Caenorhabditis elegans: one gene and its partner. The protein of the gene in region 1 interacts with the protein of each later gene in a pairwise test. Each region holds a gene or a part of one and is shown on either strand. Other genes may lie near its edges.

Evidence for each region. Proteins that work in one complex are often made in the same cells at the same time.
Region 2: the proteins of rabx-5 (region 1) and rab-5 interact in a two-hybrid assay, tested with the Caenorhabditis elegans proteins (one study listed by BioGRID).

Annotation. Positions count from the first base shown.
Region 1 is NC_003281.10:10,603,480-10,611,378, reverse strand, and holds the start of rabx-5 (Rab5 GDP/GTP exchange factor), read right to left. Parts: upstream 6,010-7,899; coding exon 5,947-6,009; intron 5,768-5,946; coding exon 5,652-5,767; intron 5,331-5,651; coding exon 5,230-5,330; intron 5,136-5,229; coding exon 5,084-5,135; intron 1,380-5,083; coding exon 823-1,379; intron 198-822; coding exon 60-197; intron 1-59. Other genes in the region: Y39A1A.2 (Reverse transcriptase domain-containing protein), read left to right, coding at 7,830-7,880.
Region 2 is NC_003279.8:9,306,475-9,310,750, reverse strand, and holds rab-5 (small monomeric GTPase), read right to left. Parts: upstream 2,310-4,276; 5' UTR 2,307-2,309; coding exon 2,216-2,306; intron 1,920-2,215; coding exon 1,831-1,919; intron 1,628-1,830; coding exon 1,316-1,627; intron 1,116-1,315; coding exon 981-1,115; 3' UTR 530-980; downstream 1-529. Other genes in the region: uev-3 (Ubiquitin-conjugating enzyme E2 variant 3), read right to left, coding at 362-422; nmat-2 (Nicotinamide/nicotinic acid mononucleotide adenylyltransferase 2), read left to right, coding at 3,932-4,003, 4,051-4,160, 4,205-4,276.

The DNA of each region.
Region 1 (7,899 bases):
TAGTTTTTTCTATAAAAATTTTTTTTCGAGAATTTTGGATGCTTAATTCAAATATTCACCAGCTTCTCCACTCATAAGCCTCGCTGGAATTGCAAATCTTGATATAAATTTGACATTTGATTGAATTAACGGCGGATTTCCACGGAATAAAACGTATATTAGTGTTGGCAGGAATTCGTCAGCCGATGTTGAAGCTTCTGAAAATTTTTGATTTTTGAAACAGGTGATTTTTTTTTGGTCTTTTGGGATTGAATTCATAAATATTTGGCTTTCTTGGAATTTTTTTCGGAAAATTCGTTCAGAAATTTTTTAAAAATCTGTTATTAAACTATTTCGATGAAATTTTACTCTTTTTTTTTCAAATTCCACTAACTTATTGTTAGGAAATACATTTTAAAAACAAAAAACCGGATTTTTGAAGTTTTTCGGCGAATTTTTTGATTGAAATTTTTTTTCCAATTTAATTTCCAATTTTTCCAATTCCAATAAAGTCCAGGAAATTTGTACGAAATTATGTTTGATGCTGAAAAAAAATTTATTTAAATAGAAAAAAACTTAAATTTCGTCAAAATTCCAAATGTTAAAAAAATATATATTTTTCCAAATTTTTTTTTCAAATTTCATGTATTTGAAATAATTTTAATTTGAAAAATTTAAAAAATTGAATAAAAAAGTTGTCTGAAAACTGGAAATTATACACTTTTTAAATAGAAAATAATTTCTTTTTTTTTCAGAAAAATAAACCGATTTTTCTGTTTTTTTTTTGTTGATATTTATCATTAAAATTTTTATAAATCTGTTCCAGATAAAATAAAAACTCACCACTCTCCTTAAGCGCCTCAAAAATCGCCTTACAAGATTTCGTCAAACAATCAAGCTTCTCAAATGCAGATCGTTTTGCATTAATCTCAATAAGTTCCGAAATAGCTTCATCAATTTTATCTCGAACCGTTTGTTTCTTAAAAACCATCTTAGTTTCCAGAAATCCAGCAGTAACCCAGTGAAGTGATCGAATACGGTCTTGCAACGACATATCAGCTACTTCTTCTTCATGATTTGCACAAAAGAATATTGAATAACAAAATGTTGATATATACTTTTCCACTTGGTCCATCACATCTTCCACTTTAACTTTACAATCCGGTGAATCAAATAACGAATGTCCACCGATTCGTTCTCCAAGATATTGATAATAACTCATTACAAGTTCTGACATATCATCTGAGCTCATTCTCATTTCTGAGATCTTATTCACCGCGTTTTTCACTGAACGAGCAATTTCTTGAGCCATTCCTGTTGAGAGATTCGCTACGAGAAAATCGGTGAATTGTTGACGGGCTTCCAGAGAATCCGGGGAGAGTTCTCGACGTCTGGAATGACTTTTATTTGGTTTACTTTGAAATTCAATTTGAAATGTTTGATATAACAAATTTGATAAAACAATTTAAGATTTCGCAGAGGTTAAATTAAAACAACTATTTTTTTTAATATAACAAATTTTTATTTTTGACTGAGTTTTTGATTTTTGAAACATGTGATCTTCTCGGTCGTTTGGTATTGAATTCATAAATATTTAATTTTCTTGATTTTTTTGATTTTTAAATGTAAAAAAAAACGGTTTTTATTATTGAAATACATTTCTGACGTCACAGCCGTATTAAAATACATGTTTGTATGTTATTTAATACAGTTGTGACATAATTTTTCTACACTTTTCAATTTTTGACACTATTTGTATAACCACATTTGTTTTTACTTTTTAAACGATTTCAGAGAAGTTTTCAGAAATTTCAGAATTCCAAGAATTTTAACAATAATCTAGGCTGATTTCAGACTTTAAAGGACATTTTCAGAGGCTTCTAGTAAATATTTCGTTTCAAACAAATTCCCATAATTTCCAAATTTTCTGAACATTTTTTCATGATTCTAAAAAATATTTTTAGAAAACTTCACATAATCCTTTATACTGTTTCAGACTATGCAAACAATTATTTTTGAAAATTTCAGATATTTACATTTATGATTTATATTTTACAGAATATGAATTTATACATTACAAAAAAATAAAATAAGCCGTTGATATTTAATTTCGGTATTTTTTATTTGCTTCGATTATTTGGGATATCTATTTTGGATAGTTAAACACCCGTTTATTGAACTTAGAATTTTTTTTATCATTTGGAAAATATCAGTAGGTTCTATTTATATCAGAGGTGGGCGGATATTTTTTCGGATATTTTCTAATAATGAATTTATCAATAAGTATTGATGTAGTTATTCTGGAAGAAATGTATCCGAACAAAAGAGTAACTATTAAGCAACATTTTAATATGATAAAACCTAGAAAAATTCTACAAGTTTTCTGTATAAACGATATGCAAGTCCATTATCCGATATCCGTAATATCCGTAATATCCGATATCCGATGTTGCTCGGCTAATAAGTTTTAAGGTCTCGGTAAGGAAAACTTGTAGAATTTTTCTAGGGATTATCATATTAAATGTTGCTTAATAGTTACTCTTTGGTTCGGATACATGTCTTCCAGAATAACTACATCGATACTTATTGATAAATTCATTATTAGAAAATATCCGAAAAAATATCCGCCCACCTCTGATTGGTATTTAATGATTTGAGAAATGCTGTAAATTTCTAAAGTCCAAATTTTTTGAAAATTTGCCATTTTCCCCCAGTTTTACTAATTTTTTTACTATTTGAAGCTACTTTAATTTCCCAAATTCCAGAAATAACGAATTCTTTTTTCAAATTGTCAATTTCAATTAATAGAAACTACTCTATTATGCCATGCAAATTTCATCTGAATATGCACTTTTCTTTTGTCCCACGAGTGGTGAGCACAATGACTAACCAAGTAGTTCATGTACTTTTCAGGAACAGAAGCAAAAAGTGTGCTCTCTCCGTGTCTTTCCAAGCTCGGCGAGCTCCTCTCAATTACATTTTCTTTTTTTTCTTCTTTAGGAGAGAAGCTGCTCTCGAAAACAAGGAGAACGTGTCAACGAGAAATGGAAAAAGGAAAAAGAATTCTCAGAATTGTTAGACAAATGAGTCAGTGATTAATTAGTTATTCATTCACAAGAAAGTTGAACTTTTTCTTTCAGACAAACATGTTCTTTGATATAATATTATGTGGCGATATGAATTTTTTATTACTTCCTGGAAACCGAAAAACACTGTTAGAAAATTTTTCCTTTTTTTTTCGATTTTTCTCAAAATAAAACCGAAAACTCGAAAAAAAAAATTGGTGTCAAATTTGCTCAAAAAAGGTGCAATTTTTTTGAATGAGAAATGCCAATTTTGGAGTGGTTTTAGGATTTTTTTTTGGGTTCTGCCAAATACGAAAATTGTTTGTATTTCGGTTTTGATTTAAAAATTCGAAATAAAAAACTTTTTTATCCTAAAGTCCTATAAAAATCGATTTTTTTCCACAAAAAATTGACTCCAAATCTAGTTAAAATAGCTAAAAATTTAATATTAAAAATCATAATAATTAATTTTTTTAGTCAATTCAAAAGTTATGCTTACTATTAGGGTTTTTTATACAATTTTGATCAGAAAGAGGTTCAAAAAAATTGATTACAAAATTGAACTTTATCTTAGAAATGAGATTTCAGGTACATATTAATACGAATTTTTTGAAAAATTGTTCTATACTTAGTGCTCTAGAAACCTCAATTATAGGCTAAAATTCTACTTTTAAAGTCAATTTTCCAGTGAAATTAGATGAAAATTACAGGTAATTTTAGAACAAAAAAACTCTGAAAAGCTTTAGAAAATTCAAAACTTCAGTTTGAAACTTGAATTTTCAGCAATATTCTCTAGGTTTTGAGCTAATTTTTGGTAATTTCCGCACTTTCAGACTGCTCTAAAAGCATTTTCTCTGATTTTTGCATTGAAAATCCCCCTAAAAACCCCATTTTCCAACTGAAAAAAGTCTCAAAAGATCGAAATCTAAGTGCCCTTAGAATGTAGTTCTCTCCTTCTTCTTACGCACCACTTCTCATTTTGTATTCGGTCACGCAGACAGAGAAAGAGGGGAGATTATACATCTAAAATTGCTCGTTTTGAACTCAAATTTTTCAGAAATTAATGTTCTTAGAATATATTTTCTTCTAGAAAATATAGCGTAGTGACTGAAAAAGGAATTGAACAAATTGCATATATATTTTTTCAATTTTGCAAAAAAAAAATCAAGCCATGTTTGAATTCCCAGGCAAACGTTGTTTCGAACTATACAGTTTTCAAAAATTGACCGATAATTTAAAACTGTTTTTCAAAATTGCAAATTTATGAAAAATTCTACTTTTTAAAGCATTTTTTTAAATTTCGAGAATATGTTTTATAAACCTTTCAAAATGAATTTCCAGGGTTTTTCAAACATTTTTCAGTCATTTTCAGACTTTTCCCTCTTTTTTTCCCAAATCAAATCACAAAAAATAACTCTCTATTCCCGTCCGACTAAAGCTCATCGTCTATTCGTATAGAGAAAAAAGTGGCAGAGATGCATAAATATATACACAGCAGCTGTATATAGAATAACAACTCTATCGTAAACAAAAAACAACAACAACCACTAATTCTCAGATTTTTTGCCCACTTTTTGACAGAAATTGGCCTAAATTTTAGAGTCCAAAAACTGGTAAAATTGCGGAAAAAAAGATATTTTAGAAAAAAAAACTTTAATAATCTTGAATCCAAAAACATCTTTTACGTCTAAAATAACCTAAATATGCTCGAAATCGCGGAAAAATTGGTTTTTGTTTTGCAGACAACGGCCTCAAAACTGGAAAAATAGTAGAAAATTGTTGAAAATTTGTCTGAAATCCTCAAAAAAAAATCTGAATTTTTATCTAAAATCACCCGAAAATCGGTTAAAATCACTTTTCCTGAATATTTTGTTTTAAAAAAAACTCGAAATTATTGAAAATTGGCTTTGAAAATTACAAAATCACTCGAAAACCAGTGAAAAGGTCTATAATTTGCTTTAAAATTTGAAAAAATCAACAGAACTTTTTTAAACCACCTAAAATTTTTTTTTATACTATAAAATTTCTTAAAAACCCACCGAGTTGGTGTGCTCGCCGGTGACGTGGAAGTTGGTGAACTGGTTCCGCCTTCTGAAAAATAGCAAATTTTAAAACTTTTTTCAAAAAAAAAATCTGTGGCCGAGTTTTTCTTTTCACGGCCACGTAGCAAAATCCCCACACTTACCTGGAATCGGAGACGTTTTAAACAGATTTTTGATGCCACGTGACTTGCTTTCTGTTGTCGATTTACGCCGCTCTTGGAATTGATCGAAACTTAGAAGAGATCTGGAAAAAAGGGATATTTGAGCGGAAAATTAGGTTTTTTTTTTTCTGAAATTTGAAAATTTTTTTTTCGAATTTTCAGCGATTTTTTCTTGGAATTTCAGGGGTTTTTTATTTTTATTTTAACGATATTTTTCTGAAATTTCCACGAATTTTCTTGGAATTTCAGGTTTTTTCTGAGATTTTAGATTTTTTCCTTATATTTCAAGGTATTTTCGTGGAATTATGAAATTTTTTTTTTAATTTTAGAGTTTTTTTTTTTGGAATTTTTCTTTAAAAAAGTATTCAAAATTCGAATTTAGGCATTTTTTTTCAATTTTTTACCTATTCTTCGCAAAATCCTGACATTTTTTCATCTCATTCTGATGAGCTCTCCAACATTTTGAGCAACGATTCTCCCACTGTGGGGTCCCGTAGAATCCGCATCCATTGACACATAACTGCAAAAAGAAATTGATTTTTATTCAAAAATGAATATAAACGATGCTCCGATATTCCGCCTTTAAAAATTGGGTTACTGTAATTTCAAAAAATCTTGATTTTTTAAATTTTCATTTATTTTTTTTATTTTTTCAGGAAAAATTAATATTGGAAATTTTAAAAATAGGAAAAAACTCACTAAATCATTAGCTTTTAAATGCATTTTTGCTTTCTTGTCCTCCTCGCCATGCTTATCTGACATTACTTTGTGGGGTGTTTGAAACTGAAAAATTTTTAATTTTTTCATGAAGAAAAAAACAATTTTAAAAATGAGAATTAAGGGTCGAAGAAAATATAAAACTACAGTTCAAATTAAAGAAAAAATAATTTTAACACAATTATTTTTCGAAAAATCACACAAAAATTGAAAATTTCGAAAAAAACTGACTTTAGAGATTTTGCGAAAGCTTATTAATTATTTTTTAAAAAATCTGATGTTTCAGATTAAAAAAAAATTAAAATTAGTTGAAAAATTGGATTTTTTTGATTTTCCAATTTTTTTCAATTGTATTTATTTTAAAAGTAAATTAAAAAAAACATTTTTTCCTTAAAATTTATAAATTATCTGAAATTTCTGAAGCTGAATTTCTAATCTAAATTTGAATTGAAGGAAAATGATAATAATAAATTCTAGACTAATAAAACATTACATCTTCGGCAAAAAAAATAAATTAAAGAGGTTTTTGAGCCAATTTATTTTAAATTATCCAACTTTTCAGTCCAATTTTCAGTGAAAATTCAATTTTTAATCAAATCAAGTTTTTGGAAGTAAAAAAAAATAAATTTAAACATAAAATCTAGAATTTCTGTCAATTTTTAATTAAAAATCGACCAAAAACCAAGAAAAATGGACCCAGGAGGGTTCTATTGGTGCTAAAGTTGTCCCCGTCTGGCAGGGAAACTCAAGCCGAAGATGGAGGAGGGCTCTACGCGGTCACAAGTTCGCTTCTCTGCGTCTTCACACTCTCATCCTCGATTACTCAGTCTTCATGGAAGCTCCGCCTCCATCGTGCTTTGAAAGCTGGAAACAGCTGCTCGTTCTGAAAAGATCGAGAGGACATACTCGGAAATCCGATTTTTTCGGAAATTGGTTTTCAGAGCGTGCCACCAGCCATGAACTTTTGAATACATACACAATCTGGGGGAATTGTTAGAACGAATACAATGAAAATTTCCTGGAAAATGGGGATTTCCATGTGGATCAATCAAAATTTTGAAGAAAAAAAGCTAGTTTTCGAAGAAATTTTTTGTTTTTGTGTTTGCCCATCAAATTCAACTTATTTCGGAGTTTCCACCAAATTTTACAGGATTTTTCTTTCAAATTTGCAAAAAAAAGTTACATTTTTTAGCAAAAAACTATTTTTTGTTTAAATTGTTCTGCGCATTTTTTAAATCTTATTTTAGAGATTTTTTCTCGGATTACAAAATTGATTTATTACGGTAACACAAAATTCTGAGAATGCGTATTACACAGAACATCTGCCGCGCAAAATATCTCGAAGCGAAAACTACGGTAGTTCTTTAAATGACTACAGTAGCACTTGTGTCGATTTACGGGCTAGATTTTTGTAATGAATTTATTTATCGATAGAACATTTTTTTAAAAAGCAAAAAAATGAGACTATTATCCGAAGAAATATTCGAAAAGAAATTCATATCAAAAAATCGAAAAAAACTAATTTTTCGATATGAATTTGTTTTCAAATATTTCATCGGATAATAGTCTCATTTTTTTGCTTTTTAAATAAATGTTCTATCGATAAATAAATTCATTACAAAAATCGAGCCCGTAAATCGACACAAGTGCTACTGTAGTCATTTAAAGAACTACCGTAGTTTTCGCTTCGAGATATTTTGCGAGTCAGATGTTCTGTGTAATACGCATTCTCAGAATTTTTTAATACCCGTAAAAATTCCTAAAAATAATTACGTGGGGATTTATCGATTAAAAAAATTCAAAACTTTTGACGTGGTGTTTTTAAGTGAAAAACCGTAAAATTGAATTATTTCAATATTTTCAAAATGAGCAGCGAAGGATCGATTGTTCCTATCAAACTTGCACAACGATTTATTGTAAGAATTTTTTTTTAAT
Region 2 (4,276 bases), on another chromosome or scaffold:
AAAATTAAAAATTCAAAGTTCCTACTAGAAAGTTTGATTTAAAAAGCTAAAATTGATGACAAAAATTACAGAACTATTTTCTTTGTGTTTTTTCACTACAGGCACGGTACCCGGTCTCGACACGACAAATTATTGTTAAATATAAAAAGGTGCGCGCCTTTAAAGAGTACTGTAGTTTCAAATAATTTTCCATACTTTTTCATTGCTTTTCGAAAAAAAAATCAGATACATATTTAAAAAATGAATGTAAAAATTTAAAAAAATTAAAAAATCTCAGATGATTTTGTATATTTTAAAGTAAATTTATTTAATTTTTAAATTTAACTTTCTTTTGAATTCAATTGATTTGAAAAGCATTTACTTTTTGTGGGCGTTGGTTCTGCTCGAAGAGGCGGTCTACTTGTTCCAGGTTGATCGGACATTTGTATTCTTCAAATAATTCTCACCTTGTTGTTTTTCAGAAAATTGAATTCAATATCTAATATCGATCGTATACGAAGGGTTTTGTGTTACCAAGTATATACATTTTCGAACTTCAATTTATTCGGATAGATTCTGAAAGGATGCTATAAAATTTTGAAAAAAAATTGACAAAAAGGTGGTGAAACTTTGACGAGAAAAGTACTAACAGTGGGATGGTGGGGTTCGGGACTTGGATGTTGATGGTGAGAAGCAATAAATAATTGGAACATTTGAATGAAAAAATGGGAGTTTTCGCATATAAAAAGCAAATGGGCAGAGCCAATTGTGCAAGCTCATTCACTGGCTGAACATTAGTCAGAAATATACAAAAAATGAGAAAATATGGGTTAAAAGAGTGAAAATAAATAAAGAAAGCGAGCACAAAAAACTTGTTCAAAAGTGTTTTTTTTTCGAGGGGAAAACAATGACGACGATCACAGGCGTTGGATTCAAAAGATATATAGAACAAAAGAGGAGCGGAGCTAGAAGGGTTGATGGTACATGAAAAAGTCGTCAATTTATTTACAGCATGAACCCTTTTGTTGCTGTTGTGGTTGGTTCATATCGACAGTTCCCGTTGGTTCACCCTGTGCTGGTCCGATTGGCAACTTTTTAGCTATTGCCATGAAAATATCGTTCACGTTCATTGAGGTCTGTAATTAAATAAATAGAGAATTGATTTTAAATTGGAAATCTTAAATTTCTCATTCATTTTTTAATGGAGATTAGTTCAAAAACTATCTTCGCAGAAAACAAAGTTTATTGTTATTTTTAATAACAATTTTAGTTTTTGATCTATTTCAGTACTCTGTTAACATGTTTTTATTGTCAAAATCCAAATTTTCTAATGTACCTTCGCAGATGTCTCCATGAACAAGAGAGCATTGTCCTCAGCATAAGCATTAGCTTCTTCATACTCAACAGTTCGCTTATTGGCAACATCAGCCTTGTTTCCAGCCAATGCCATCACAATATTTGGAGATGCCTGTCGCTGCAGTTCTTTTACCCAATTTTTCGCTTTTTGGAAAGATTCTTGATTGGTAATATCGTAGACAACAATAGCCGCTTGAGCTCCTCGATAGTACATTGGTGCCAATGAATGATATCTTTCTTGTCCTGCAGTATCCCAGATTTCGAATTTAATTGTTGCATCGTCAAGGCACACCTGAAATTTCGAAAATTCAATTCTTAATTATTAACGTTTTTACGTCTTTCAATATAAAATCCGTGTTTTTCGAGCAAAAATCTCCGCAATTATATTATTAAAAAACAATATATTATTAAAATTCGAGATTTTTCATTTTAGTCAAAATTTTTGTTCAAATTAGGGAAAATTGTTATATTTTCACAAAAAATTCAAAAACTCACAGTTTGAGTGAGGAACGCAGCACCTATAGTCGACTCCTGATACTCGTGAAATTGTCCCTTGACGAATCGCAATACGAGAGATGATTTGCCTGAAATGATAGTTTTCTGTGATGTTTAGGTGAAATAAGAGAGCATATACGTCATATGCTAGCAACTATCAGATGACCCATAATTCTAAACATATAAACAATCAAAAGACGAAGAATTAAACTTCGAAATCAACGCAATTTCGAAATTTTGTGACGGTTTTCAGCAACTGCGAAATATGCTACAGACAGAACGGAGTAGAATAAAAAAATCTTTATTTTTTGGAAAACTGTTCTTGTTTGCTTTTATTTTCTACTCCAACCTTTAGCGGTTTTTTCCATTTTCAGTATCAACTCACCTACAGCACTTTCTCCGAGAAGAACGAGTTTGAACTGGCACGTTCTGTTTGGACCTCCAGGCCGGGCGGTTCCTGCGTTTCGGGCGGCCATTTTCTAAATACAAATTTGTTGAATTTATTACATTAAAAATCGATCGAATAAATTACAAGCAAAAAATAAGCATAATTTCACATAGGAAACGATATGAGGGAGGATTCAGCTGAAAAAATATCAAAATGGTTTCAAAGAGAAATAATGTTGCATTTTTCTTTCCAGAAAGAACAAAAAAAATAATGTTCGACTAAAATTCTATATCTCAATTCTCATTGATAAAACAATTTTGAATCCCTGAAATTTCTAGAAAAATTTCTAAAAATCCTTGTACTTAAAAAGTGGAAAAATTGATTTGAAATGAGCAATTTCCGAAAAAGATTGAAGGCACGCGAGAGACTGAAGAGTGGTAAACAAGCGTATTATTGATTCATACGGGTGTCTCACGAGGAACGAAATTGTGATGAAATCGATAAAGAAATACGGGTTTTGATCACTATTTTCATCAATTCAGTTTGCTTATCTCTGCATATTATTCATCACGTGTAATTTGATTAATTGATAAACTTTTTTCTCAAGTTTTGATGAAGTTTGAGATTAAAATTAGTTTTCTGGAAGCATCCAAAAGTAGTGAACGAATTAAATTGCAGGATATATGAAAATCAATAAAACTAAAAAAAAGAAATATTTGCGCAACAGACATCGATGACACACACGGGCTTCGTCGGGGGTAGCCAATTTGGCTGCGTACCTTCTGGGGTGGTGACGGGCGCAGTTGACTGAGTATTCAATGTTTGTGTGACATCGCAGACAGTTAGACAAAAATGGATGAAAACGGGAGGAGGCTTTTCGGTGCGCGCGCTTTCGAATTTATATTTTTTCGCGCTAGGCCAATTTTACATTTTTGATGAAAATTATTTTTCATTTCGAAAAACTTTTATTTTCCGGTAATTTTTGGCTAAATTTAAAAAAAACGCGCAAAATTAAGCGGAAAAAGTGTGAAATAATAGAGACCCGAAGAACTCGGGGGATGTCCAACTGGGGGGATTACCAACTCGGGGATTGGCCCCGCCTACAGAACCGTGGCTTGCAATACGCCTATTTCTGCAACTGCCGCACGGTTTTAAAACTGTATTTTTCTCAATAGAGCGAGAAATAACAAGAAAAAATAATTTTAAAACCGTGCGGCAGTTGCAGAAATGGGCGTATTGCAAGCCACGGTTCTGTGGGCGGGGCCAATCCCCCGAGTTGGTAATCCCCCCAATTGGACATCCCCCGAGTTCTTCGGGTCTCAAATAATATTCAAGAAAATTCAAAAGAGACTACTGTAGCTGAGTCGTTGCGAGACAACTTTTTTTGTTTGAGCCATGTCCCTTTAAGAGTAAACTGTATTAGAATGTTTTCACATTAAAATTCTCATTTTAAATTTGTTTCATGCTTAATTTTAATATTTCCCAATCATAAAAATTTGTCGATTTTGTGAATAAAAGGTTCAATAAATAAGAAATTTCCTAAACGTATCCTGATTTTCCACCTGACTTGCATTTTTTGACACACTTTTAAAAAAAATTTTTCGTTTCTGATCACTCTCGATATTTTTCATATTTTTTCAAAAACGTTTCGTTCTAAATAGCTCAGAAGAAAACAAAATATTTTTCAGTTTCAATAAATATTGTGATAAAACGATGAAACGAGTCGCTCTTCTTGCCGTCGGGTCGTTCAATCCACCAACAATTGCACATTTACGTATGCTTGAGGTAATCAAATAAAAAAAACATTAAATGTATGATATATGAATTTTCAGGTCGCCAGGTCACATCTCGAAACGATTAATACACAAGTTGTTGAAGGAATAATGAGTCCCGTTGCTGATTCATACAACAATAAACCAACGCTTATAAAATCTAATTTTCGGTAGAAAAAGTTTTTAAGACTTGATAAAAAATGTTCTAATTCAGCATTCAAATGGTTCGAGCCGCCACAAAAAGTTCTGATTGGATACGAGCCGATGACTGGGAATGTACTCGAAC